7 linked regions of the Mus musculus genome follow. The protein of the gene in region 2 interacts with the protein of the main gene of each other region in a pairwise test. Links are inferred from orthologs where the notes say so. Each region holds a gene or a part of one and is shown on either strand. Other genes may lie near its edges. The genes, in order: Kifc3, Mtus2, Ddx6, Tshz3, Rgs2, Wac and Hck.

Evidence for each region.
Region 1: the proteins of Mtus2 (region 2) and Kifc3 interact in binary tests that used the Homo sapiens proteins (3 or more experiments, as listed by UniProt). The link is inferred for Mus musculus from reciprocal best matches to the Homo sapiens genes MTUS2 and KIFC3.
Region 3: the proteins of Mtus2 (region 2) and Ddx6 interact in binary tests that used the Homo sapiens proteins (3 or more experiments, as listed by UniProt). The link is inferred for Mus musculus from reciprocal best matches to the Homo sapiens genes MTUS2 and DDX6.
Region 4: the proteins of Mtus2 (region 2) and Tshz3 interact in binary tests that used the Homo sapiens proteins (3 or more experiments, as listed by UniProt). The two-hybrid records come from large-scale screens. The link is inferred for Mus musculus from reciprocal best matches to the Homo sapiens genes MTUS2 and TSHZ3.
Region 5: the proteins of Mtus2 (region 2) and Rgs2 interact in binary tests that used the Homo sapiens proteins (3 or more experiments, as listed by UniProt). The two-hybrid records come from large-scale screens. The link is inferred for Mus musculus from reciprocal best matches to the Homo sapiens genes MTUS2 and RGS2.
Region 6: the proteins of Mtus2 (region 2) and Wac interact in binary tests that used the Homo sapiens proteins (3 or more experiments, as listed by UniProt). The two-hybrid records come from large-scale screens. The link is inferred for Mus musculus from reciprocal best matches to the Homo sapiens genes MTUS2 and WAC.
Region 7: the proteins of Mtus2 (region 2) and Hck interact in binary tests that used the Homo sapiens proteins (3 or more experiments, as listed by UniProt). The two-hybrid records come from large-scale screens. The link is inferred for Mus musculus from reciprocal best matches to the Homo sapiens genes MTUS2 and HCK.

Annotation. Positions count from the first base shown.
Region 1 is NC_000074.6:95,125,558-95,129,057, reverse strand, and holds part of Kifc3 (kinesin-like protein KIFC3), read left to right. Parts: intron 1-2,350; coding exon 2,351-2,532; intron 2,533-3,500. UniProt on the Homo sapiens protein: Minus-end microtubule-dependent motor protein. Involved in apically targeted transport. Required for zonula adherens maintenance.
Region 2 is NC_000071.6:148,310,320-148,313,442, reverse strand, and holds part of Mtus2 (microtubule-associated tumor suppressor candidate 2 homolog), read right to left. Parts: intron 138-3,123; coding exon 1-137. UniProt on the Homo sapiens protein: Binds microtubules. Together with MAPRE1 may target the microtubule depolymerase KIF2C to the plus-end of microtubules. May regulate the dynamics of microtubules at their growing distal tip.
Region 3 is NC_000075.6:44,632,392-44,635,891, forward strand, and holds part of Ddx6 (probable ATP-dependent RNA helicase DDX6), read left to right. Parts: intron 1-1,701; coding exon 1,702-1,803; intron 1,804-3,291; coding exon 3,292-3,467; 3' UTR 3,468-3,474; intron 3,475-3,500.
Region 4 is NC_000073.6:36,696,618-36,700,917, forward strand, and holds the start of Tshz3 (teashirt homolog 3), read left to right. Parts: upstream 1-1,500; 5' UTR 1,501-1,632; coding exon 1,633-1,672; intron 1,673-4,300. Other genes in the region: Gm36722 (zinc finger X-linked protein ZXDB-like), read right to left, coding at 246-1,493. UniProt on the Homo sapiens protein: Transcriptional regulator involved in developmental processes. Functions in association with APBB1, SET and HDAC factors as a transcriptional repressor, that inhibits the expression of CASP4.
Region 5 is NC_000067.6:144,001,350-144,005,343, forward strand, and holds the start of Rgs2 (regulator of G-protein signaling 2), read right to left. Parts: upstream 2,801-3,994; 5' UTR 2,770-2,800; coding exon 2,660-2,769; intron 1,705-2,659; coding exon 1,603-1,704; intron 1,493-1,602; coding exon 1,431-1,492; intron 934-1,430; coding exon 767-933; intron 526-766; coding exon 331-525; 3' UTR 1-330. UniProt on the Homo sapiens protein: Regulates G protein-coupled receptor signaling cascades. Inhibits signal transduction by increasing the GTPase activity of G protein alpha subunits, thereby driving them into their inactive GDP-bound form.
Region 6 is NC_000084.6:7,867,706-7,871,996, reverse strand, and holds the start of Wac (WW domain-containing adapter protein with coiled-coil), read right to left. Parts: upstream 2,801-4,291; 5' UTR 2,423-2,800; coding exon 2,382-2,422; intron 2,305-2,381; exon of another isoform or gene 2,108-2,304; intron 2,007-2,107; coding exon 1,970-2,006; intron 467-1,969; coding exon of another isoform or gene 449-466; coding exon 253-448; intron 1-252.
Region 7 is NC_000068.7:153,132,468-153,135,967, forward strand, and holds part of Hck (tyrosine-protein kinase HCK), read left to right. Parts: intron 1-1,601; coding exon 1,602-1,751; intron 1,752-2,156; coding exon 2,157-2,309; intron 2,310-3,500. UniProt on the Homo sapiens protein: Non-receptor tyrosine-protein kinase found in hematopoietic cells that transmits signals from cell surface receptors and plays an important role in the regulation of innate immune responses, including neutrophil, monocyte, macrophage and mast cell functions, phagocytosis, cell survival and proliferation, cell adhesion and migration.

The sequences.
Region 1 (3,500 bases), on a different chromosome or scaffold from region 2:
CCACGGACAACCATGTGTCTGTCCCAGGGCCACACCCAGTGATAAGAGACTTTGGCCACTGGAGGTTGGGTTGGATTTCCCTTCTTTTTTGTCTTTTCCCAGTACCTACCTAAAGCAGGGCGCAAGAGCAGCCTCCCAGACGCCACCGGGTCCCTTCGCCACCGGGTCCCTTTGGCAGAGGCCTGGCCGTGTTCTGGTCAGAGGATCCAGAGGTCAGGGATTTGTTTCCCCTCCCCCCAGACTGAGACACCTAAGCCTGCAGTTCCATTATCCTCTGACCGCTGTGGCACCTAGAGCTAGCTGGTTTTATTTAGAAGGTTCTCCGGGCTCCTTTGCAGGTTCTGGGTTTTCGGCAGTAAGTACTGGCCAATGAACACAGGGAGAGAACACCTTACGGAGCCTCAGGACAAGGCCAGGAGTACTAGGAAAAGGTGCTTCTGCTTTCTCAGAGTCTGTGTGTCTGAATTTGCTGAGGTTGTTGGAGGATGTCACTCCCTTCTCTCTGAGTCTGAACCAGTGCCTGTTCCGTACGAACGAGCCCTGGTCCACCCAGATTCAGGGCAGGCATAGGGTGTGGGTAAGCAGTGGGCAGGCAGGCTTTCAAAATGGCCACCATCTGGCCAGCAAGGTGGGGCAGGTCCAGAGGAGGAAGGCTAGGTCCTCTTAGCAGTGAGGATTGGTGCAGCACCTGAGCCATGGGCCCTGTGGTGGGCCATGCCTCTGGAAACTGGCCTGTTGGGTCAGGTGGTTGCTTCCTCAGCCAGGGGCTTGGTCTGCGCAAGGTCCCTTGGGCCTCGCCTCTCCTCCCTTCTTCCCATTCTCAGTCCTCCCTTAGCTTCAAGAGAGTTTCTTCCACTACCCATGACTCTGCAGGTTCCACTCAACTCCTGGCCCTCTTACACGGGGTACCATGCTGAGGTCTGGGGCTCAGAGCCTCCCAGGACAGGAGCCATGTCATGGATGACACTCGGACCTGTGCTACCTGTGGGATCCCAGCTACTTTCCCAGGGCTGCTTTTGGGCTAGGTACATCGTCCCTGTTTCACACAGGAAGAGCCTACAGGGTCCCCCCTTCAATGTGATTCAAGAGGCAAGCCCAGCTCTCAGCCAAGCCAGCACATTCTGTCACGCACCAGTGCAGTCTGTGGCCATACTGATCACATGTCATCTGTGGCAGCCCCGTGTGCCGACCTAGAAGCATCGGGGGCTGCCCTTACTCCCTCTAGAATAGATCACAGAGGCTGGGCCTGTACCGTGTGACTTTCATGCTGTGTGTCACATGCAGAGCCACACAGCTGGGGCCACTTGCCTAGCACGGGTTGTCCAGCTCCGGATCTCTGGGGGGGGTGGGGGGTGGGAGGACACTAGCCCCACCCATGGGAGCCCAGCTACCGCTGCTGCCTCCCATTTCCCTGTGCCACTCTGGGGCTTTGCAGAACTGTGGTCAAGGCTTGCTAGTGGTGTGGGGTGGCCCCTCACCTTTGAGAAAGCCAGAAGCTAAGGCTGCATTGAAATAGAAGGCTCCCCAGCTAGCACTGGGCCTCCCTCCGAATGCCCAGACTCTTTGCAGGACCCCAGCTTGGGATGCTGAGGGGAGAAGGCAAGTCATTTTCTTGTTCCCCCTGGACTGCTGCTGGTTCCTCATTGCACAGAGCTTTGGAACAGCCCCATTGCACATCACAGCCCCTGATGCTTGTCCTGTCTCCCATCCTGATGACAGAACAGTAGAAAGTATTGGGGGAGGAGGAGTTGGGCCTCTCTTGTGCCTGTGTGACACTCCACTCAACCCCCCTCTGCACCCCAGTTCCCCCCCCCAGACCCCTGTACAGGCATCAACCTGAAAATGTGCCTAGCCCCTGGTCTGTCCCATGTGCTGGCCTGTCTGTGCTCACAGACATGCCCCCTACCCCTCCTCCACGTGCACAGGTGACCACTTCACACCGAGCAGCTGACTAAGTCTGGTACTCTCTGCTGTGCTTTTGAGAGATCGGGAATTAGCATGGAGAGCCATTTCTGAGTGAGCCACCTTTCTTTCCAAGTGGAAATTGCCTGAGGGCTGGCCACTGAGAGATGCACTAGCCCTGGCTGGAATTCACCAGTTTGAGGGGATTCAGGAAAAATGGTTTTCCTCAGTCTTGGTTTAGGCAGTTCTGTCCCCTAGAAGCTATAGCTAAAGTGACTTCCCCAGAGGCCAACCTGGAGGTCCCCTGCAAACCCATTTTGCTGTATCCTTCAGCCCCACCTGCTAGCATCCTCTTCCCGCCCTGATGGTGCGCCCTGTTGTGATGGCCGCCTCCCTCCTCCAGGCAGACCTCCACTCTCCTGCTGATCAGCCACTACTTTGCTTGTAGGTGGGCGGCTCTTTGGCATCGGGAGGTGCTCAAGCCTGTCCGGGGCACCAGGCCCAGACCCCGTGGTACATAGGACCGTGGAGGCCATGTCCCAGCTTCAGGAGGAGCTGGTAGTCCTTCGGGAGAGGCTGGCCCTCCACGACAGTGACCGGCAAGCCACAACCACCCAGCTGCAGAACCAGGTACCTGGGGAGGCAGGGATGAGCAGAGGCCACTCACTGCCCTCTGGGGAACAGGTCAGAGGACATTGTCAGGGCACCTAGACTCCACCAGAAGCCAGATGGTGACGCTCTTCTGGTTCGGGAAGACGCTGTAGGGTGAGGAGGTTCAAACCTGGTATCTTACTGCAGCAAGTGTCTTCGGCACCTGAGCGTCTTCCCAGTCAAAACATTTTCCTCTGTAATTGATGGAATCTACTTGCTTGTTAATTGGGGTAGTTGAGGGCCGCTGAGATGGTTCAGCAGGTAAGAGCACCTGACTGTTCTTCCAAAGGTCCTGAGTTCAAATCCCAGCAACCACATGCTGGCTCACAACCATCTGTTATGAGATCTGATTCCCTCTTCTGGTGTGTCTGAAGTCAGCTACAGTGTACTTACATAAAATAATTTTTAAAAAAAGGTGGGGGGTGGAGTCGAAAGTGAACTGCTCAGACTTTCTGGTGTCCCTAGCTCCGCTCCTCTCATCACCTTTAAGGTGGACCTTAACCCACCCTCAGGCCTCAGATGACTTGAGAATTCAAAACTGTATCTAGCCTCTGCTCAGGTTTTATTGGTGGGCTTTTTGGTTATGTGTTTATTACAATGTTCTTAAGGGATGGTATCTGTAGCTGTGCTCTGTAGGGTCCAACCCTGTGGAGACATGGCCAGCCTCCTGAGCTGTGAGTAAACCCTGACTCTGGCAGCACTTACTAGTCCTGGGCTAGGTAACTACCAGTCTGCACCTCATTTCCTCATCTGCAAACGGATAAGACAACAGAATCCAGATGTGCTAGCACATTGTAGGGGCAGATGTGACTCTGGAACCCTGGAAATACATCTGTCTGAGGTGGTCTTGGCTGTGAGGCTGTAGGGAGAGTTGTCTGTCCTGTGAACCCCACTTTCTGAATTCCAGCCAGGCCGAGATGAGTGTGGCTTGTAAGAGTGGACAAGAA
Region 2 (3,123 bases):
AGAGTTTAATCGGGCTGGTTGGGTCCCCCGTTTGGAGCTTCCAAAGTAGTTCTTCGTTGGTTCGGCTCAGTCTCTTCTTTTCCTGGGTCTCTTTCTCCACGTATTCCTGGAGGTTTGCATTTTCCTCCGACAGTTGTCTGCACGAAAGAGAACAATGGTTAGGCAGCAGGCAGGCCTACTAACGCAACTGAGGCTGACGGGCAGAGGCCAGGGGCGATACCTCATGGCTCACAAGTCTCTCTGCTGGGTTAGGGGAGGTTGTGGCAGTCATGCACAGAGAAAGGTGAGAGGCTGGAGCGGAAAGGGGGGAGATGGTAGGCCAAATGAGCATGCTGCCAGAAGCCCATAGGAGGGGTCGCTTAGAGAGATGGAGATTGCCTCTGGCTGTGGTCAGGGTACGGACTAACAGCTGCCAGTCATCCAGGAAGATTTTCCCGCTACCTCCTGCCCTAGGTACATGCCTCTGTGAGCAGAGTCATTAGCTCTGCTGTAGAGTCGGTCTGTCTACCTGTCTGTCTGCTGGACCACAAGCCCTAGAGGGCAGGGGTGGAGGCTCTGTTATGTTCTTGGATGGCACTCAGAAAAACAGATGTTTGTTCACTGTTGGCTAATGAAGGGGGCAGAAAGGCATGTTGTGTGTGTGTGTGTGTGTGTGTGTGTGTGTGTGATATGGTGCTTAAGTTGCTGGCTTTGCTGCATGTTTTCAGTAATTTCTATAATTACTGTGTGTAAGTGTTCTGCCTGCATGCATGTCTGAGAACCACTTGCATGCAGTGTCTATGGAGGCCAGAAGAGGGCGTGGGTCTCCTGGAACTAGAGTTACAGATGGTTGTGTGCTGTCAAGTAGGTACGGGGAATCAGATTTGGGTCTTCTGGAAGAGCAGCCAGTGCTCTTAACCACTGAGTGGCCTGTCTATTCCATTATGTGTTTTAGAAGTGAAAGATCCTGACAGAATGTAAAAGGTCACAGAAGCCTTGAAATTGGCAAAATAGATTTCATTGTTAGCAGAACTAGCTTCACTGATTTAGAAAAATAGAGGTGTACAATGCTCTGGCTGCTCCTAGAACCCATGTGTCTGCCAATGTTCTGACCATTCCTTAAACCCATGTGTGTGCCCACTGATGAAGCCCATTGCCAGGTGTTTGTGATATTGGTTGCTGGGGAAGAGTCAGAAAATCTCCCCAGCAACTACAGCCGGGGCCAATCCTGAGTTGCTGCACCTGCACCAGACTCTTTCCTTGACCCCTCCCATACCCATTTCTTGAGACTAGACATTGTTTAGATTGGGTAATCCCCTACTCCCTCCTTCTCCTTTCCCCCCTGGGGGCCTATAAAAACTGGGACCCCTTTCCCCTCGGGGTCGACTCCTCTACCCCTGTGTGGGGTACGAGTCGTCCCCAGAGCTCTGGCTTCCCCCCCCCCCAATAAAGCCTCGTGTGGTTTGCATCAAGCTTGGTCTCTTGTGAGTTCTTGGGGGTCCGTTATTATCCCGAGACTTGAGTGAGGGTCTCCCTTCCAAGGTCTTTCATTGGGGGCTCGTCCCGGGATTGGCGCGACCACCCACATCTCCGAAGACCCACTTGGAGGTGAGATTTCTTGTCTAAAAATATTTCTGTGAGCCGGGGATGTTCGGTGCTGAAATTTGCAGCTGCAACGTTTCATGAGAAGCGGAGACCTGCACCTCAAGATGAGGCATGGAGTGTGAACAGCAGACATGCTGGAATCACCCACTGCCCGCTCTGGGGGATGCCCTGGAGTGAGGGGAAGGACTCCAGGAGTCCGTCTGGGATGGGGAGTGAAGAGTTGGTAGTCTTCCTAGATTGGAGGACTTATGTACTTACCTGACCTTTTGCATTTCTGAGTTGGTTTTGTCTGTCCATTAGAAGATGGGCATTTGTCAGTGTGTGTGTGTGTGTGTGTGTGTGTGTGTGTGTGTGTACCTGTTTCGTGTTTTCGGTGATTTGGACAATGGCACAGACTGTAATGACCCCCCTAAGTTTGACTTTAGACCACTGGACTGAAGTTAGGTCAAGGGCCCATAATCTTTCAGTAGAAATTAAGAATAGACCTTGACAGACTTTTTGTGCCTCCAAGTGGCCGACTTTTGATGTAGGATGGCCACCGGATGGGACTTTTGATTTGACTCTTATCTTTAAAGTTAAAGCCATTGTTTTTCAGAGCAGACCTGGGTCCCACCCAGATCAACAGCCTTACATTACTGTCTGGCAGGACCTCGTCCAGAATCCATCGTCATAGATCAAACCATGGATTCCCCAGTGTAGGTCAGGCTCCCGAGCCCTGACTCTTCTCGAAAACAAAAGTGAAACCAAAAGGTTCCTCCCAAAACGGAGCCTCCTCTTCAACCCACAGCTCCCCCCAAGTTCCTTCCCCTTCACCCTATCTTCTACCCTCCCCCGCCCCCTGGGTCTGCTCCTCCACAGCACAGCTGGAGGGATGGCAGCCAGGACCCGGAGACGATGAGCCCAGATTCCCCCAGCAGATGGAGCTCCTGACACCACTTCTGCTTTTCCTCTGCCAGCTGTGGGCGACCTGCCCTCGGACCCGCAATCTCTGCAGATCTGTACAGTTGGAAAGCTAACCATGCTTCCTTTTCTGAGAATCTGGCCAGCCTGACGGGGCTGGTGGAGTCTCTTATGTTTTCTCATCAACCCACTTGAGATGATTGTCAGCAGCTCCTCCAGGTTCCGTTTACCACTGAAGAAAAAGAGCGCATTTTCCTGTAGGCTCAGAAAAATGTTCCCGGAGTGAATGGAGTCCCAACCAACCTACCTAATGAGATTAACACTGGGTTCCCTCTGGACCGGCCAGATTGGAACTACAATATGGCTCAAGGTAGAGAGAGGTTGGCAGTTTACCACCGGGCTCTGATCTAAAGGGAGCAGCGAGATGCCCCACCAATTTGGCTAAGGTAAGAGAGGTGATGCAGGGTCCTACCGAGCCCCCATCTGTTTTTCTGGAAAGATTGATGGAAGCTTATAGACGCTAGACTCCTTTTGACCTGACCTCTGAGGGTCAACAAGCCGTGGTTGCTATGGCTTTTATAGGGCAATCAGCATCAGATATTAAGAGAAAGTTACAGAGACTAGAAAGATTACATGCCA
Region 3 (3,500 bases), on a different chromosome or scaffold from region 2:
GCCTGCGGAGGCCAGAAGAGGGCATTGTATCCCCTGGAACTGGAGTTCTCAGGCAGTTGTGAGCCTGTTGATATGGGTGCTGGAGATGAACGCACATCTTCTGGAAAGAGCAGCAAGTGCTCATGTCCAAGGAGCCATCTCTTTAGCCACCTATTTTAAAATATAGTCAGGATTTTTGGGAAAATGCACATAAACAAAACACTTGTTACTGCTACCAGATATTAAATTTGGTTATTCCTAGTAATCAGGAAGTAACTGTAAAAATAACTTTATGGAGGCAGTCATATTATTGAGTGGTTAGCTTTTTAAAGTTGTGTTTAAATATTTAGCTGTGTATAGATATTTTTTTTTTGGACATTTGGGAAACCTATAAAATAGCTTACTAGTGAAAGTAAAGTTGTTAGTCAAATTGAATATTCATAAGAAAATTGAGACTCTTGCTATCAGGCACCTGCCTCCAACTCCATTTTTCAACTTTAAATAAAAAGTTGGCTTAAGAGCTGTAAATTCAATCCCAACATTAAAAGAAGACAGACATTGATAGTATTACTACACTGGTTAATTGGTTTATTTGTTTGTTGAGTCAGGGTCTCATGTAAGCCAGGAGAGCCTAAAGTTCAGCTTGGGATGGCCTGCTTCCTCTTCTGAGACAAAGGATTGTGGGTACTGATATGCCAAGCTTTACCTGATCTTGGAATCCTAGGATTGCCTAGGGTTAGGGTTTTATGCACTGCACTCATTCAAGATTCTTAATGTATATGTGGAATGCTTTGGTATATAAAATCCTACTTGTTAGGGTGGCTGACACAGTTTGAGGCTAGCCTGTGCTACAGATTGAGTCCTTGTCTCAAAAAAGCAAAGTAATGAGAAAATGCCACTTCTCCTTCAAGGAATGTTAAATTAATTAGAAAGTTGGTATTAAAACTTGCGTACCATGTAATCTTCATTAAAAGTACTTGATTTTGCCATCTCAGAATCAGCCTTAAGATGGAGTACAAATGAATGAGCATTAAAAATAAAATTGTAAAAAACAAAAAACAATAACAAAACTAGTTGGTGCCAGGTGTTGTGCAATCAGCAAGCACTTGGGGTAGGGGCAAGAAGGTCACTTCAGGTTCAAGACCTTCCTGCTCTCTGCTAGCCAGAGGCCAGCTAGAACTACAGTGACCTGTAGTGAAGATAGTTGAGCTTGGTTGACAAGGGAGTAATGTAATTATTATCCTAGTGGTTATTGGAATACACAAGAAATAGCTGTCAAGTCGTTTCAGAAGGGACGGGGTTTTAATTGGCTTTATGGACTGGGTAAATTTGATGTGGAGAAAAAAAGATTTCAAGTTTGAAGACTTGGGTTAAGAATAGTGCATAAAGGTCTACACAGAACGGCAGTGTGTGCTCCTAATCCTGACGTTTGGGGGTTTGACAGAGGAACACGAGTTCAAGACTAGCTTGGGCCACCAGTGATCCCCACCTCAAAAAGAATTCAGTGTCGTGAGTGGTTTTGGAAGGTTGTTGTGAGAAAGGAAGGAACCCTGATTATGACCCTGTTGTGAGCGTGAGGGACTTTGCCTATTAGTTTACTTAGATGAGTTGTAAATTGTTTACCATAAGTGGATGGAGGACTTCTAAAAGCATAATTAGTGAATTACCTTTCAATAATGAAAATCATTACTTGTTTGTTTGTTTGTTTGTTTGTTTTTTCAGATCTGTTTACCCGAGGTATTGATATACAAGCTGTGAATGTGGTAATAAACTTTGACTTCCCAAAGCTGGCAGAGACCTATCTTCATCGTATTGGAAGATCAGGTAAGTAAGAATGGGGGTAGCCTCGCAGACATTGCTTGATGAGAAATACAATCTTTCATTTTTCCTTTGTGAAGTAAAGTATAATAGCTGTGAGAGCAGTGAAATCACATCAATTGACTTGTTTGATATTTAAAACTAAGTAATTTTTTTATTAATCATTTATATTTGGAGACGGGGTCTGGCTACATACATAGAAAGCCCAGGTTATACTGGAACTTAAAATGTACCTGCCTCAGTCTCCCAAGACCTTGTGTCATTTATTAGAGTTAAGCCTGATAGAGCACCTGAATCCAATCCTGATACTTACGTAACAAGAGAGAAACAGCTGTCAACACACACACACTTTTTTTTTTTTTTTTTTGGAGACAGGGTTTCTTTGTGCTCTGGCTGTCCTAGAACTCACTTTGTAGACCAGGCTGGCCTCAAACTCAGAAATCCGCCTGCCTCTGCCTCCCAAGTGCTGGGATTAAAGGCGTGCCCCATCATCGCCCGGCTAAATTATAAAACTTTTTAAAGAATGTTCTTTAAAGGTAAGCTGACTGTATGTGGTGTACACTTGGGAAGAGGAGGCAGGTGACATCTGAACACCTGTGTGTTAGAGGCCAGCTGGGGTTACAAACTGATTTTGAGGCCAGCCTCAAACAACATGATTGAGACCCAATTTCGGGGGTTGGGGGAGTTAAAGTAAGCTGGAAATGGTGGCACATACCCTGTAATCCTTGTGTTTGAGAGATTGAGGCAGGAGGATCATGATTATAGTTGGTAGGGGGGTTGGGAGAAATGGGTTTGCTCTCAAAGAGCCTGTAAAGCCCTCTGTTTGATTTCCAGTACCCACATCAGGTAACATAAAAGCACTTGTAACTGCACCTTGTTAATAACAAAAAGTTAAGTCACATAGTATCTCACAAGAAGAAAGAAGGAAAGAAAGAGGTTAAAGTAATTACTATATACTTAAAGTGAAACACAAGAAAACTGGATTGATTGAATGGTGTAGTGTACAAGTGTATTGTTCAGTGTGTGTATTTTGACAGTCGTACAAACGAGTATCCAGTTTGTCATTTCAAAACCAGAAAATTAGGTATAGCTGTCCCTCGGGGTTCATGAGCAATGGGTTCCAGGACCCTTGCCAACATCAAAGTCTGGGTAGTCTCTTAAAAGCATGTGGTATTAGCATATAACTGGTGTCTATGTTACACTGTATTGTTTAGGGAGTAGTTGTCCAGAAGTCTGCTGCCTGTTCAGTACAGTTGATGTGCCAAGAGAAAGACCTAAGTTGTTTTGTTTTTTATTTGTTCAATCTTGTTTGTGCCATTCAGAATGCCACCAAATGAATATATTGCTGCTCTGTGTTTTGGCATATTACAGACTTGTTAATACATGTTGCTCTCAAAACATGTTAGATAGATACATACTTTTATATTTGAATCACTTTATTTACCACTTAAACTTTTTGCCAATTTTAAACTCATTAAGCACATTTTTCTTTAGGTCGCTTTGGTCATCTTGGCTTAGCCATCAACTTGATCACTTATGATGATCGCTTCAACCTGAAGAGTATTGAGGAGCAGCTGGGGACAGAGATCAAACCCATCCCAAGCAACATCGACAAGAGCCTGTATGTGGCAGAATACCACAGTGAGCCTGCAGAAGACGAGAAACCGTAACAAGCACGTATGTACCTAGTAACCTGACAGAAC
Region 4 (4,300 bases), on a different chromosome or scaffold from region 2:
GAGACGCAATCGAGCCCGCAGCGCATCGATGCGCCGCCGCCCGCGCCTCTCAAGCTCTGGCTGGCGCTCAGCCGCCACCGCTCGAGGGTCGCCCGCGTGAATTCCAGCCCACCCGCGCCCTCACCACCAGAGTAAGTGAGCCCACGTCGCCCTGTCGCCACCGCAGCCTTCCAGCCGCCTCCTTCCCGGGGCACATCGGCCGAGTCTGCCCGGAGCCTCTGCGACCCCAATCACTCAATCAATAATCAATCCCCTTCGTCCAGAACTGCCCCTAAGCTGGGAGCGGCTGGGGCAGTACCCTGTCCAGGGCGCACCCCGGCGGGGGATGGGCAGGGGAACCCGAGTTTCTTCTCCCTCCCCCGTTCCCGCCTTGGCAACCTCCGACGCAGTGGGTGGGGGGCGCGGCCAGTAGCCCAAGGGGGCGAGACGCGGGGTGCTGAGACGGTGATCGTCCCAAAGTCAGTAAAGGAAACTTGGAGGTGCCCCCTCCCATGCTTACCCCCGAAACAAGCCTGGGAAAGTTTGTGGCGGGGGTGGGGTGGGGGAACGGAAGGAGGTAGCCACTGTAGGTCCCAGGAGGGAAGACCCAGAGCCCACACCCATGTCAGCCCGCACATCTTCTCTCCAGGGCACCCCCGGGGCCCTGGCATCTTTGATAGGGGTACCATCCCAACTAGGGGAGCGCTCTGGGGCTGCACGCGGCGGGTGGAGAGGAGTGTGGGCCGGGAGGGGCAGCCGGGAGCAGCCCGGGGTTGAGACCGGGTGGGGAAGAGGGATGGGCGGGGGCTGTGGGCGCCCCGGGACGCGCTCCGCAGGGCGGACCCCGCGCCTTTGCGAGAGCGCTCGGGGCGGAGACGGAGGGCCAGCTCCGGGTGTCTGGACTTGGGCGGGGGGCCCTGGGCAGGCGTCCGGGCCAGGACCCAGGCTGGGGGCGCCTCCGCGGGCAGGCGAGTGACACGATCATCTCCTTTTCCTTTAAGCTTGCCTGTTGCCGACGCCGCCGCTCCAGCCGCGCCGTGGGCAGAAGACTGGACCGCTGAGCCCCGGGCCGCGGCGGCGGCGGCTGCGCCCCCCCTCCACCCCCCCCCCCCCCATGCCTTGACCTCCCTGCCTGGGGGCGGGAAGCGGGGCAGGACCGACCGGGGTCGCTCCTGGGCTCCTCCTCTCATCTCTCTGCCCGCCTTCTCCTCCTTCACTCCCCGCCCCCCAGCCCCGAACCCCGCGCACCTCGTCTGGGGACGGGGCGGGGGGGGGGCAGGGCGACCGCTCCTCCCCGCCCCCTCCTCCTCGGGCCTCTGGAGCGATTTGTCAAACTTCCCATTCCGCCGGCAGCGCGGTCCTCCTCCTCCTCCTCCTCCTCCTCTGCCTCCTCCTCCCCCTCGCGCTCCTCCTTCCCCGCGCCTCCCTTGCCCGCCCTCCTTCCCTCCGCACGTTCGGGGATCGCGGCGGAGCGCAGCGAGGGGGGGACGCGGAGAGCCGGGGCGCAGCAGCATCCTGCGGGCGGCCGCTCTCCGGGGGGGAGGCTGCGAGCAGGCCCGCCTCGCCCCCCCCCCGCCGCCCCTCCCTCCCTCGGCTCAGCCCGGCAGCGGCGGCGGCGGCGGCGGCGGCGGTGGCAGTCGCGGGAGAAGCATCATGCCGAGGAGGAAGCAGCAGGCGCCCCGGCGCGCAGCAGGTACGAGCGGCTTCCCCTTCCTCCTCCGGTCCTCCTCCTCTTCCTCTGCTCGCGCCGCGCCTCTGGGCCGCCGGCCCCCGCGTTGCTCGCCGCACTCCTCGCCTCTCTCTCATTTTCTGTCTGTCTCTGCGGGCGCTGAGTAACTCCGGGAGCCCGGCTGGCTCGGGGCTCTCCTGCCCGGGTGCGCGCGCCCCCCAGTTGCCCCGCTATGTTCTTCGCTCGACCGGCTCGCACACCCTCCTGGGGACCACCGAGCCGGCTTAGGTCCCCGCCTCTGCCGATCCGGCTGCAGCGGGGAAGGCGCTCTCCAACCCGTGCCTTTTGGTGGGGGGCGGGCGGGGTCACCTGAGTTCTCTGGGACATCTTCCGCGTTGTCCCGGGCAGTACCCGGTGACTACCGGGACCAGAGCGAGCAAGAGTGAGCTAGCGGATCCCTCTGGCCACCTTACTGCTAATTCGATTGATTCTTCATTTATTGGGCCCAAACCCGGTACAGCGGTGGAAACCAGAGCGCACTGGGTCTGGGTATTGTCAGATGACTGTCAGGTCAGTGTTGGATGCTGACATTTCCTCCATTCCTGAATGTCTTCTTACCCCCTCCCTCTCTTTCCGCTGCTGCTCCCTACCCTTTTCTAGCACTTAGTTCTGGGACATATCTGAGTACTCCCCCCTCCCTCTCTTTTTCTGCCAGGAACGTCAACTCCTGTTAGGACTGAGCTGATTTTTTTTTTTTTTTCCTTCTGGAAAAGAGATTCATTGAAAACAAAACAAAACCCACACACATAACATTATTTTGCAATAATGTCGGTTGGGGGCACGTTGGCTGGAAGAAGGGTTTCTGGCCGGTTGCCACCCTTGATTTGATGACTGATTGATCGCCCGTCATGCCTGTGCCTTTGATCTATTCATTCCCAATAAACATCAATAAATCACTTGCAATAGTGAGGCCAAGCTCCGTGACGTCAGGAGGGCCCTGTCAGTGCAACTTCAGGGATTTGGGGCGGCTTGCCGAGAGAGGACCACATATGGACGTGATGTATTTTGATATGAATAACACTCAGACGTGCAGAGGCTCAGACGCTGCCTGAAGGGGAAGGTTGCTTAGGAGTCCTTTTCTTTAATCTTCTTTCTTCTCACTTCTCTTTTGATAAAAGAGGGGAGGGCTGAGCGAAGAAGGGTCACCGAGGTAATGTTCCACGTGCTGGTGGGATACAGGCTAGTGATGGTGCTATGCAGGCTGCTGCTGCTGGTGATTGCCATCAGACCAGCGGGGCTCCCACCTCAGCTGCACTCTGGCCTTCAGTCTCTTTACCAGGGTCACAGGGAAGCAACCATAAGGTACTTCTCCCAGAAGTGTATTGGTCTGACAGTGTTGTGAAGAAACCTTAGGGGGGAGGGGGATTCAACTTGGTTTGGTGCATAGAATGAAGGCATGTTTTCCCTCTGTACTCTCAGTGTTACCCAAATTTAGAAAGTTTGAAGATCCCAACAGAGAGCTCACCTCCTCACTGATGCTGCCTGCTCATCCCACCTCCTCCTTTAAATTCCAAGCTTTTTAGCAGTGAGCTTATCTACCCAAAATAAACTCTAAAACTTTGGAGGCATCCTTTACAAAGTTGGGTAGTAGGAATGTCTTGGGCTTCTTCCAGTCTAGATTTTTTTCTTTCTTTTTCGGGTACACATTTTTTAAGGTATCCGTGCCTCCATCCAATGAAACATATGTGGTTGCATCTTTACATTTATTTTGAACTCTGTAGCTCTTCTTTACTGCTCCACCCAGCCCATAGGACAATTTTCTCAAACGTGCTGTTGGTTTGATTTTTAAAAAAATTTTTTAAATTATTTTTATTATTTTTTAAAGCAACCTGTTCACTAACCTTTTTGCACTTCTAAGCCAGCCAGGAAATCTCAGGTCAGTTAAGGAAAATTCATTATATAAAAACTTGACTGCCCGACTAATGGGAGATGGAAGAATGGCTTTGCTCTATCAAAATGACCCGTCAAAACGACTTTGTTTCATATTTGATTTAATTGTCTCTCTCCTGACAGGCACATTCATCAATAGCTTAATGGTCAATCAGAAGTTGGCAGAATGAGTGCTTTCTTTCTTTCTCATACTCTGGTTTTGGATTTACTTTATCAGAATGCCTCTGCCTAATGGACTCGTGGAGGAGGGGGTGCAGGATGGCTGAAGGGCTCCACACAAAACCATTCCACGGTTAGGATGCTTGTGAGTTGCCCAGGCCAGTAAGTGAGCTGTGCTGTGCAGGATGCCTGCTTTGTTTTGTTTGCTGGTTTGCATAGATGGACTAGGAACTTCTCTGCTTCCCTCCTTTTTTTTTTTTTTTAGTTCTCGAAGCTGCTTTGGTGACATCTTGGGAGCGATAACAAATTGATTGCTTTGTACTGATAGAGAGACGGTGGGAAAAAGAAAGATGTCTGCTGATTGGTGACTGGAAATCCTGTCCACAGCAACCTTGAGAATACTGGAGAGCAACCCACCCACCCCCCCTCCCCAAAACTGAAAGGTCCGCTCAGCCATAAAAAAAGAAAAGTTGTTTTGCCAGCTTCATTAGTGTTCACCTAATTAGCTGTAAACCTGATGGATTCCTGACAGCTTTAATGATT
Region 5 (3,994 bases), on a different chromosome or scaffold from region 2:
AGACCTATTGATTTTAAATGCTCCAACAACATTGCATCGGATCTTTCATCTCAAACTCTGCTTTCCCGACAAGGAGGAAGAACACATTCAGAGGCCTGTTCCCTCCCTCTGTTCTTCACACAGTGAGGGAAGCCGTTCTCACACAGAGCCTCTCCTAGGTTGCTGACTTCCTGATTCACTACCCAACATTGAATCAATAGTTCTGAGCGATGTTTTCCTAACACTCAGGCTGAATTCAAGGTCAGTTTTTTTTTTTTTTCTGGCAGGTCACAGCCTTTGCTCTTGGGAGACAGAATGGAATGTCCTTTGTGTGTGGGGGGACTCCTGGTCTCATGTAGCATGGGGCTCCGTGGTGATCTGTGGCTTTTTACATAAGTCCTGGTAGAATTCGGACTCCAAGAACCGAGGATAAGAATTGTTCTCCATCAAACTGTACACCCTCTTCTGAGCTGTGGTGAAGCAGCCACTTGTAGCCTCTTGGATATTTTGGGCAATCAGAGATTTCGTTTGGAAGTCTATGTTTATCTGAAAGAACAAAACAAAAGTCCATTTATTGGCTAGTCAACACTGCAGATTGATGCTTAATAATAAAACATAAAGGTGTAACTTGTGATCAGTTATAACTGTCAACTTTGGAGAAACTTAAATGTTAGGACAGCTGGGATGAGAGGCGCACAGGGCTCTTCTCACTTGTGCTTGAATGTGGTGTATTCAAGTCTCAGGTTTCAACAGTGTTGAAGGTGATCTGAGGCGCCTGTCTTCTTACCTCTTTGGGAGCTTCCTTCTCTATGAAGTCGGTATAGATTTTCCTTGCTTTTGAGGACAGTTTTTGGGGTGATTTGGTTTTTTTGAAGTCTTCACAAGCCAACCAGAATTCAATGTTTTCTTCACAGAACTCGGACTTTAAAAACGCCCTGAATGCAGCCAGCCCATCTGGAAGCACAGGAAAAGCAGCATGAATGGAACGACCGAATTATACACAGTTCTTCTGCACAAAATGATCAGTTTCCTAGACTTCATTCAAGCCTGTCATTCTCTAGGTCTGGCTCTTTAAGCACTAAGATGCCAGTAGGCAAAAATGCTTAAGTTTGTAGTCTGCAACAAAAGTATACTTAACTTCACTGGCACTGCAAGACCAGTGTTTATAGGCCATAAGTTCACTAGGAACTAGGGCTTTTGAAAATATTCTATGCAATGGAAAAGCTGACTCAACCACAGCCTGAGTAACTGGCATTTTAATTTTTAGGCTAACTTTTCTTCCCCACCTGAGGTGAATACCTCTTGCTTCCCCATGATTAAACCCAGTGATATAAGGGAAAGAAAAAGAGGCTTTGAACTGTCAGTGGTGGTAATGTCTAATGCACTTCTTGCAATCATTTCTAGGCTTTTAAAGATACTGGTGAGAGATCACATTCAAGAGGTGAACTTACATTTACTGGCCAGCAGTTCATCAAATGCTTCTGCCCAGAGCTGCGCTTCCTCAGGAGAAGGCCTGCAAGAGAAGTTCCGCAAATGAGCTCCCCAACACACATCAGTTCCCCTTCCCCTTTTGCTTGGCTTGGTTAGATATTCATCTCTGTAACTACAGGATCCGAAACTTACTTGATAAAAGTTTGCTGTTTGCTTTTCTTGCCAGTTTTGGGCTTCCCAGGAGCAGAGGAATTCTGCAAGAAGTAGCTCAAACGGGTCTTCCAATCCTTTAAGCTGGAAAAAAAAAGAGAGAAAAAAAAAATACTTCAAGTGGCAATTCTTGAACGGTCAAACTATCATCAGCTGCAGTAGCTACAAACAAAGCAGATGAGTCTCTCCCTCTTAGCTTTTAAACCCAGCACCTCAGAACACAGTTTTATCCATTCATCCGACTATAATGAGCTTTACAAGCAGGATAGGACTACATAACAGCCAGGGTATTTTAAATTTTCACCAGTTATTTCTGACCTAATAAACAGGTAGTGGATTTTCTGCATGGTTAAACTACAGCTTGCTGTCATTTTTCAATTGAGAACAGCAGTCTTGACCCAGCTGATGTTTCTTCCCTTTCTGCACTGGGGGTAGGAGGGTCTGCACTATGCCAGAGACAATGCATAGGTGTGTGTGTGTGTGTGTGTGTGTGTGTGTGTGTGTGTGTGTGTGTGTGATGGATTCCCTAGCTCCCCTCTGCGACCGCCCACAGTGCTTCTCCGCAGCAGATACTGCAGAGCAAATTACTCATTCCATAGTCGTGACTGGGTGAGCCCTACTTTATGATTTAAAAATGGATCTCATACATTGCGAATCAACTCAAACATCTCCACCCAGCAGCTATGCAAGCAGCTCAGAACTAACAATGCAACGTCCAGACGCCGGTGGACGTTATTCAGCTACAGGATTCTGATGCCACATTAAATGCAGAACAAAAAGCCAACCAGCCCTTCTCAGATCATCTACCGCCACCTTCTTCAACCATTTCCTATAGTTCCTAAACTCTCGGAGCTCACATAGAAAAAAAGCAAATACCACCATATCTAGCAAGCTAACCCCCCACCCCCCAAGCCCCCACACTTTCTCTGCAGAGGTGCAGACTAGAGAGCATTCAAAGCCGAGATCGAGGGAAGGTAGGTCCCTAGCAGCAAAGCCAGGCTGGGTATGAAGAGCTCTTCGGGAGACAGGGCATACTCACAGTGTCCGCTTCATTTTCTCCCGCTTCTCCTCGACCTTGGGGCCGTTGCCTGCACTCTTGTCCATGGGTACGCAGTCGTGCTGGACAGCCAGGAACATGGCACTTTGCATTCTCAGACTCCCGCGGCCACCGCAGCTGTTTGAGGCCGGGAGCGCGCCGCGGGCTTTTAAGGCGGGCGGCGGCATAGGGGCGGGACCTGGAGGCGTCAGCCACGCCCCAAGAGAGCGCGGATTGGCTCGCTGCAGACGGCACGAGGGCGGAGTCGCCCCGGCCTGTGGCAGTCACGGCAGCCCCCGAAGGGCCTGGAAGCGAGGGCGCTGTTGACGTAGGCGCCGCATCCTCGTGCGCACACAGGGTGGGAGGTGGCGGGCGGGGACACAGAGAGATTTGGTAGGCACTTCGGGCAGCCACGCGGTGAAGGGTCTCCGAGTTCTTGGCTTTTCCTTTACTGAAGACCGTACCTTTTACTCGTGTGCGTGTGTGTGTGTGTGTTCGCGCGCGCCCCACCTTTGTATCTATTGTTCATCCGGACACCCATAAACTGCAGCTGGGATGGGGAGAGCCCTGCTGGCTGCACTCAGCAACTCTACCTATTTTAGAGAAGGAAATCAAACAACTAGAAAAACCTGAAATATGGACTGTTGAGTAAGGTGCTGTAGCTCGCTCAGGCACCTTGGAATTCCTAAAGGGAATTCCACGCTACTCAGGGAGGAAGCGGGAGAAAGTTTCTATTAAAACCTGGTGTTTTAACCAGTTCTGCAGTTTTGATCTTTAAATGCATGGCTGCAGCAGGCTGTGGCTTTGCAGGGTCGTTCCCCAGGAGACCCGAGGGGCATCTCCTGCGGGGCACAGCAAAGATCAGAGAGATAGGTGAGAAATACAAAGGGAAACCCAGGATCTCGCAGTTCTGCTGCACACGGATCATGTGTAGTTTCAGAGCGTAAGGAATCAGGATTTCCTCATGAGTCATTCACGGTTGAACAGATTTAGGAATTACTAGATGTTCAACTGCTTAAGTTAAGGTGGCGGTGCAGTGGGGGCTAGAGCTAGATGTGAGAGCCGGTTGGTGTAAAGAATTTGTTTGGGTAAGCTTCATTTGTGAGAACCCCTGTCTCTGCTCCTGCAGGGTTTAATAAGCCCTGATTTGTAAGAACTAATACATGACTTCAACTACAAACTGATTCAGCTTCCTATGTTACCAGAATGATGCGGCGGAATACCTAAGTGGTTTTCCCATAAAGTCTGAACAGACTAACAAAAAGGTACGGCTTAGGCTCTAGTTATTCTGATTCATACTAGATCTACTAAAAGGAAAATGAAGACCCATTCTCAAAC
Region 6 (4,291 bases), on a different chromosome or scaffold from region 2:
TTCCTTTCTTGGGAAACTGTTCAGGAACTCTCCAATCACTAGTCACCATTTAGAAGCCTGTATTTGTAACTGCACTATCAAACACTGTGTGTTCATGCTGATACCATTTTCCCATAGTGCCTGCTGAATTAAAAAACAAACAAAAAATGGATTCAAAGTGATAATACTAGTACATGGTAATGTGCTGACTGCACTGTTTTCTCTAACTCTCCCAGGACACACACATGACAGTTTAGCCCGAGAGCTACTTACCACCGTCCCTTTCTCTAACTCTCTGAGTGTGCACGTTTTTGGCCTTGTTGTGACCTGTGCTGTCACTGTATTTGTTTTCAGGACTATTAGATCTCCGCAACATTTTGTTTGGTGGTGAAGGATCTGCGGCGTCTCGCATCTTTTCATGTCTGTGATCACCACTACTGGGGTGACTCTTTGAAGAATACTTAAGTGCCTGTAAAACATCACCCCCCCAAAGAGAGAGAAAAATTGAAAACTTAAACTCAATTCCCAATTTAAATGACAAATTTTGCTATGTCAGGTTCCCTTACATCAAAATTCAGAATTTCCATTTTCAGTACTTCCCTTACTCAGAGAAGAGGGAAAGGCTCCAGATTTCCTATGCAACTCCTGATAACAGATGCAACCACAAAACACACACTCACACACACTCACAAAAGAAAAGAAGAGAAAAGAAAAGAAACCTATCTGATCATGTAAACTTTTTTTAAACAGTATTTTGGCACACTGACCTACCAGGAAAAAAAAATTCTTCAAAACTAAAATCAATTTTTGAGAGCTTAGATTACTATCCACTTAACCTCTACAACCAATGCATCCAAGCATGTCTATAAATAAGCATATTTTAATAACCACAATTTTCAAAAAGACAACAGTTTTTCCTCTTTTTTTTTGATTCAAATAAAGCACTGTCCCTAATTTATAAGCTCTTTCAGGGATAAATTAGTTTTTAAAATGTAACATGATGTGCCAAAACAAACTGATACATGAACAGTGTTTCTAAACAGGAAGAATTCTAAATGCCCTCAAAATAATGGTTTTACACTGCAGGTGTCTGAAGAGGAACCCAGTGTTGCAGTCTGGGAGGGAAGGAAATAATGTTTGACAGATGCAAATATTCTGACATCCCAGAAGCTCCTGTACAAGAGTCAGGCTGGAAATGTGCTGGCTCCCACGTGTAACCAGCATTCTGAAGACTAGACAGGAGTAAAACTGGAAGCAAGCCTGGACCACGGAACCTTGAGGGAGACACAGATCTGTTCCTATTTTCTCTTTTAAGGGTGATTAGAGGCATAAAGTATTTACTTCTGTTATCTTCAGACAGTATCCTGAAGACATTTCTGCAAACCTTTAAAACTTTACACGCAAAACCTTCAGTGGAATAGTAGAGAATCATTTCTACTAGCATGAATTACTAAGTAAAGGAAGGTTTAAATTAACTGAAGCAAAAACAAAACCTTTTCTTTGAAATAGCATAATCTGAACTAAATAAATAAAATGGTAAGAGTATTGTTACTGAGAGTAACTCAAGTTACTGCTCTCAAGCCTTTACTCTACTTTTACAACTCTCACATTTATCTTTCGGCTCCTCGATAGAATATTAAATAAATGGGCCTCTGAAGTCAAATATCACTACACTTCAGTGACTCCTTCACATTCAAGCCAAGCCAGGTCTTCCTGTTTCCGAGTATTTTTTTCCCTTAAAAACAAACAGGCAAACAAACAAAAAAACAAAAGGCAAAACAAACCCCTGTGCTTCCTCTAGTCACCTCTCAAGATGCATTTGGAGAATGCTAATAAAACCCAATACTGAATTTTAAGCGGACCAGTGGTGCTACTTTCAGATTTGTTGCACCAAAGGGCCTGTAGCGACTTCTGAAGCCTGCGCTCGAGTAGCAGTCCCTCCCTTCCCCCTCCAGCCCCTCCAATCCCTCCACCCAGGATCGGCTGGTACCTGGAAAGGCTGAGAGTCCCCTCTCCGGTCGTGACAGCTGAAAAACAGTAAAGAAGGACCGTCCTGTGAGACATCGCGGGAAAGGAAGAAAGCGGGTCTCCCGGCCGCCCCTCCCCGCGGACCGGCGGACAAACGTACCAGCGCGGATCCGCGCGCGGCGGACGCTCCCCGGGCTCAGAGGCCCGGGTTCGGACTCAGGCCGCAGCCACAGCCCGCTCGTCCAGCCCTCCGGGTCCCCAGGGCGCCAGCCCGTCCGCCCGGCCCGGCCCGGCCCGGCGCCTCCTCCGACCGATCCCGATCAGGGTTAACAACAAAAATGGCGGCGCGGCCAGCTCCCGATAAGGACGCCCGCCCGCCCGCCCGTCCGCCCGCCCTCCGCCGCGGCCCGGCCCGAAACGAAAAGACGATTTACCCATCACTGAGTCTCTGCTGTTTCCTCGCATACATTACCATCAATGCCCGGCTGTGTGTGTGTGTCGGGGAGGGGGAGAGCGGCCGCGAGGCAGGCGGGCGGGCGCGCGGGCGGCGGGCGGGCGGCGGGCAGCCCCGGCACCAGGTCTCAGCGCACCCTCGGCGGCTCGCGGCACCTCCCCGTTACTGGCGCCGGCGGTCCCGGGCCATCTCCCTCCGTCACCACCGCTTAGGGCCGGCTGGGGCAGAGGTGCCAACTACGGGGCGGCAGCGCGAGCCGGGGGGAGGGGGTGAGAGGCCGTGTTCCGGTCCCCGCGGAGAGCGAACGCCTCCAGCACCTTCCCTCCTCCTGCTCCGCCGCCGCCGGGTCCTTCTCGCCGCCTCCTGCCGCTGCTACAGCCGCCGCCGCTCCACCAACTACATCCGGGCAACTCGGACGCAGCCGCCTTCGGGAAAGCTCGGCAGTTTCCGCCACACCCCCTCCTCCCCGCCCCGCGAGGCTCGAGAACGCCGCCTTCGACAAACCTCGGCTCGCTCCCGCCCTCCTCTTCCTCCGCGGCCTGGGCTCCTCGCCCCGCGACCCGTCAAGCCCTTCCGGTTGCTGCTTTCCTCGCTCGCGAATCCGGCCACTCCCGTTCCACTTTAGGGGTAATCGTGCTCCGGAGCCTGCGTGAGGCGAGCCCCGGGGCCTCCGGGCTGCGCAGGGTGGGAGCCACCTTCGGGAAGAGAACCGTGGGGCGCGAGGGACGCCATCTCGGACTAAATGCGGAGCGGCGGGAGCTGCGCGTGCGCCCAGAGGCGCTACGGCGGCGGGGGCGGGGTGCCCTCCGCGAGGCGGCCGTGTCCCCCGCCCCTCGGGCTCCGTGCGGGGGTCGGAAAGCCCCTAATTGGGCGGCCCGGACGGTGGTCGCGGAGCCTCGGCGGGCCGCGACGGAAGTCACACTCGGCGGGCCGGGAGAACCCAGAACCGCGGCTGGTGCTGCCACCCAGCAGCGCCGACCGCGCGCCTGTGGCATTGGCCATGGCACGTAAGTGCCCGGCCGCACGGAGCCTTCCTACGGCGACTCCTGTGTCCCTCCTAGTTCTTCCTCTCCGTGGAAGGAAATTCTTTCCAGAGTACGGGAGTACAGAAAATGAGCGGTGTAGTGAGTGAGGTTGCTATAAATTATTTGCGATTCACGGGGAGGAAACTTATCAGTGACAATCTTTTCTTGGTGGCAGTCCACTGCCTTTTTATTTCCTGGAACATGGGTTTAACAGAAAGAATTGCTACGTAAGCAGGCTAGAGAGGTAAAACACATAAGGATTAAAAAAAAAAATTGAAAAGACTACTCGGTATCCAAAAGGTTACATTAATCCTAAATAGTGTAATACGGAAAGAGACCTTGAAATCATAGCTGAAAAGATTTTTTAAACTAACAGTGTCGGCTTGTCAGATCCACTTGTCAAATGTTAAGTTGATTATTATGGCAACTAGTAAAACCCTGCTTAACGCCCACAGAAGCTGTCAGTAACTAAGAAAAAAGGTTGTTGGTGCCTGAAGTGACTGGAGGGCTAGAGGGATAGGTCATTTGTAACATTTTTTAGCACAAATTAAACACAAAAAAAAGTTAAAATGCCCTTAATGGGGGTAGTCAGATCTCTCCTATAAGGGTCCTTTGGTCCAGTCCCAAACACTAAGTTGGAAGAGGGGAAAAAAATATTACGTCTTGCACGGAAATTCTAAAGACTGGCACCATTATTCTTATTCCCTTGTGGTGAGGTAACACAGGGCTGAGCTAAAGGAGGAAATGTTCAAGATGTAGGAGTGATACTCAATATTGTGTTTGCAAACTTACACAGTAAAATTCATTTGTCACCCCCACATCAGCATGCACCCAATGTACACAGATGTGAGAATGACATACCTGA
Region 7 (3,500 bases), on a different chromosome or scaffold from region 2:
AGAGATTGACCTGTCTAGTTCTACTGAGAGGCAAAGAAACCAACAGCCCAGTGACAGACCTGTGGACAGGAAGGTGGCCTGGACTCGCTTCCACAGCCCCCTGGAGGAGGGGGCTTGCTGGGGATCTGCCTGATTTAGAACACGGTCCCAAGCACTTGGCTGCTTTCCAGATCCTGCACACCCTGTCTAGCACCAGGTACACCAGGTTCCCCTTGACTGGGATAGGCTAAGAAGGAGCCAACCGGACAGCCTTGGAACCCAAATGTGCTACTTGCCAGCTGTGTGACTCCAAGTGAGTATGTCACCTATAAAGTGAGGCTGATACGTCTATAAAGCATCTGCCTCGTGAGACTATTCACTATGATGAATGATACGATCCAAGTAATTTTAATTGATGAAAACGCACACTGTTCCTGTCATTCACTGTTCATTTGGCCAGCATGCTTAGAACAGCTTGGCTTGTTGTCAGTTGTCATTCAACAATCTAAACTTCCCTCAATGACATTGTGCTATTATAAGAAGGAGGAAATATGAAAGGCAGAGAAGCTAGGTAACATAGCTCACACGTGGTGGACTGCGGCCACAGATTGGAATGCTTGTGTATCTCTGGTCTGTGTGACAATCCAAATCATAGATTACTGTAAGCTGGACAGTTTAGAGCCACACATCTGTATTGTCTCTCAGTTCTGGAAGCCAAGAGTCTGAGTTTGCTGGTCTCTGGTCAAGATGTCTGTGGGGCTGGCTCATTTTGGAGTCTTGTAGGGGCGGGGGCAGGGCTCCATTTCATTTTCTGTCCTTGTGGGCTTTGAAAGGCCACAAGTGCTGCTTGGCTCATGGCTGTTCCTCTCCAACACCTATTTCCACTAGCATGTTCACAAACTGAGTCCTTTTGTTAAGGACCCCTCTGAGTTCCCTGGGACACCCCTGGACACTCTGTCATGTAAGGTCACATATTTCCCAGCTGCAGGTGTTCACATAAGAGCATCCTGGATACTATGCAGCTGACCACAGTGCCTATTTTCACACTTTAGTAATCAGACCAGATTTTCTTTGTTCTTTTTATTTGTATGTTTTCAGTTTCTCTCTCTCTCTCTCAAATTAGTATAGTATCTTGGCTTTTTCTTCACTAAATAGATACAGACAGATAAATGGTATAGAAGATAGATAGATAGATACATAGATAGATAGATAGATACATAGATACATAGATACATAGATACATAGATGAATAATGATGTGATAGTGACAGTCAGCTTACTTTTCCAAGTCACTTACAAGTATTACTTCTGTTAATCATGGGGCAAACTGATGAGATGGAAAGGCATAACAACTCTTATTTTACAGGCGAGGAAACTGAGGCATAAAAAGGTCCAGTGGTCATTTGGTCAAGGGCTCACAGCTGAGAACTGCAGAGCTGGAATGGGAACCCAGGCAGCCCAATGCCTCAGCCCACTCTTAATGAAATGAGCTTCTGCCCAGGTAGCACATGCCCAGCTGTGCCAGGAGAGGCCTGCGGGGCATCATAAGGATGCCAAGGTACTGACATCAGGTAGCAGGCTTCTAAGGTGCCATTCTGAGGGGCTTCTCTTGGACCAATACAGGGAGCTACTCGTTGTCTGTTCGAGACTTTGACCCCCAGCACGGAGACACCGTGAAGCACTATAAGATCCGGACGCTGGACAGTGGAGGCTTCTACATCTCTCCAAGGAGCACCTTCAGCAGCCTGCAGGAACTCGTGCTCCACTACAAGAGTGAGTCTTGCTCGAGGCCACGCCTCCACATTTGACTGCAGAGCCTAAGCTGCTCCTCACTGCACAGTGTGGCCAGGCTGTGAAGCAGTCACTAGCCACAGCTTTTATTCCTCAGCACCTTGGCTTTGCTTTGCAATGGTTGTTTGGTTCTGGAGAAGGAGAGTCTACTGCTTGCTAGGCAAGTACTGTATCATACCACGAGCCCCCACTAGGAGGGGCCTGTCTCTCAGAACCCCAGTGGCATGCAGCTCTGCACTCAGACTTCCTGGCCTGGACAGGCAATCACGCTGGGCACCCCTGAAGGTTTAGGCTGGCTGGACATGAGGGTGGCGGTATACAGGTGTCATTCATCATGCTCTGCGATTTGGGGAATGTCCCACCTGCTGACTGGGCACTCTGTTTCAGAGGGGAAGGATGGGCTCTGCCAGAAGCTGTCAGTGCCCTGTGTGTCTCCCAAACCCCAGAAGCCATGGGAGAAAGATGCTTGGGAGATTCCTCGAGAATCCCTCCAGATGGAGAAGAAACTTGGAGCTGGGCAGTTTGGAGAAGTGTGGATGGGTAAGGAGCTGGGGCCAGAGTCCATAAAGCCAGAGCTGGGAGGGCCCTGAGGGTACAGGGATATCACCCAGCAGTGGGGAATTTAAATAATAACCACAGGAGGCCACTCCTCAGATAGCAAACCAAATTGTCTACTGGGAAATCACTAGTTTGCCTTTGTGGCCAGGCTTAAAGGTCAAAGAACTGCTCGAGTCCTGGATGGGAGTTGTATGGAGTTGGGAACAGGCTACCTTGTGGGGCTAGCATACTCAGGGCCTCTTGTGATGGTGAAAATTCATAGTGAGGGGAAAGGCTTGGGTTTTCAGGTGAGTCCAATGCTGGCAACTAAAGACAAAGCTGTTCAGATCATGAGCCACAATGTCCAGTGACATTCCAGGCATGATGGGACACCAGAAAGGCCAGCACACCCCTGTGGTCCTTGGCCCAGTACCTTGAGAACAGGAGAGGTAGATGGTCACAATACCTGATCCACCATGTTAACACTCCCCTGTGTGGCAGATGGAAAGGACGGAGCTTGTAGAGATGCAAACATTCAGCCAGATAAAGTGAGTTTTGAAAGCCTGTGGCTCAACTACATTTACCAAGAGCCCTCTACATGCCAGGTGCTGAGTAAATGAAGCCATAAGGAAGTGCAAGGAAGAAAGACAGATCTGAGAAGCAAAGCTGGGACAAACAAAACAAACAAACAAACAAATAAACAAAAAACTGTCCCATGAGACCCCCATGCTCTCACTACAAACACCACAGATCTGGATTTGAGCTTCCTGGCATCCAAGATACACAGAGAAAGAAAAGCATGTATAATACCAGAGCCACTAAATGAAGCAGGGTGGGATGGAGCAAGAGAACAGTGTGTGGCAAGTCCCTGCAGCTGAGGACTTGAGGGTCAGGTGTATGCAGGGTGGTTAATGTGTAAAAGCCAGAGTGAGGCCAGAGAGATGGCTCACTGGGTAAGAGGGCTTGCTGCAAACACCTGATGATCTGAGTTCAAACCCAGAAACCCACACTGAAAAGAGGGAACTGCTGGAAAAGATCATCCTCTGACCTACACACACGTGCACACACACATGCACACACACGTGCACAGAGAGAGACAGAGAGACAGAGACAGAGTAATTTATTTTATTATTTTTTTAAAAGAAAGTAAGAGTGAATTTATTGAGTCAGGCCTAGTGATATATGCCTACCATC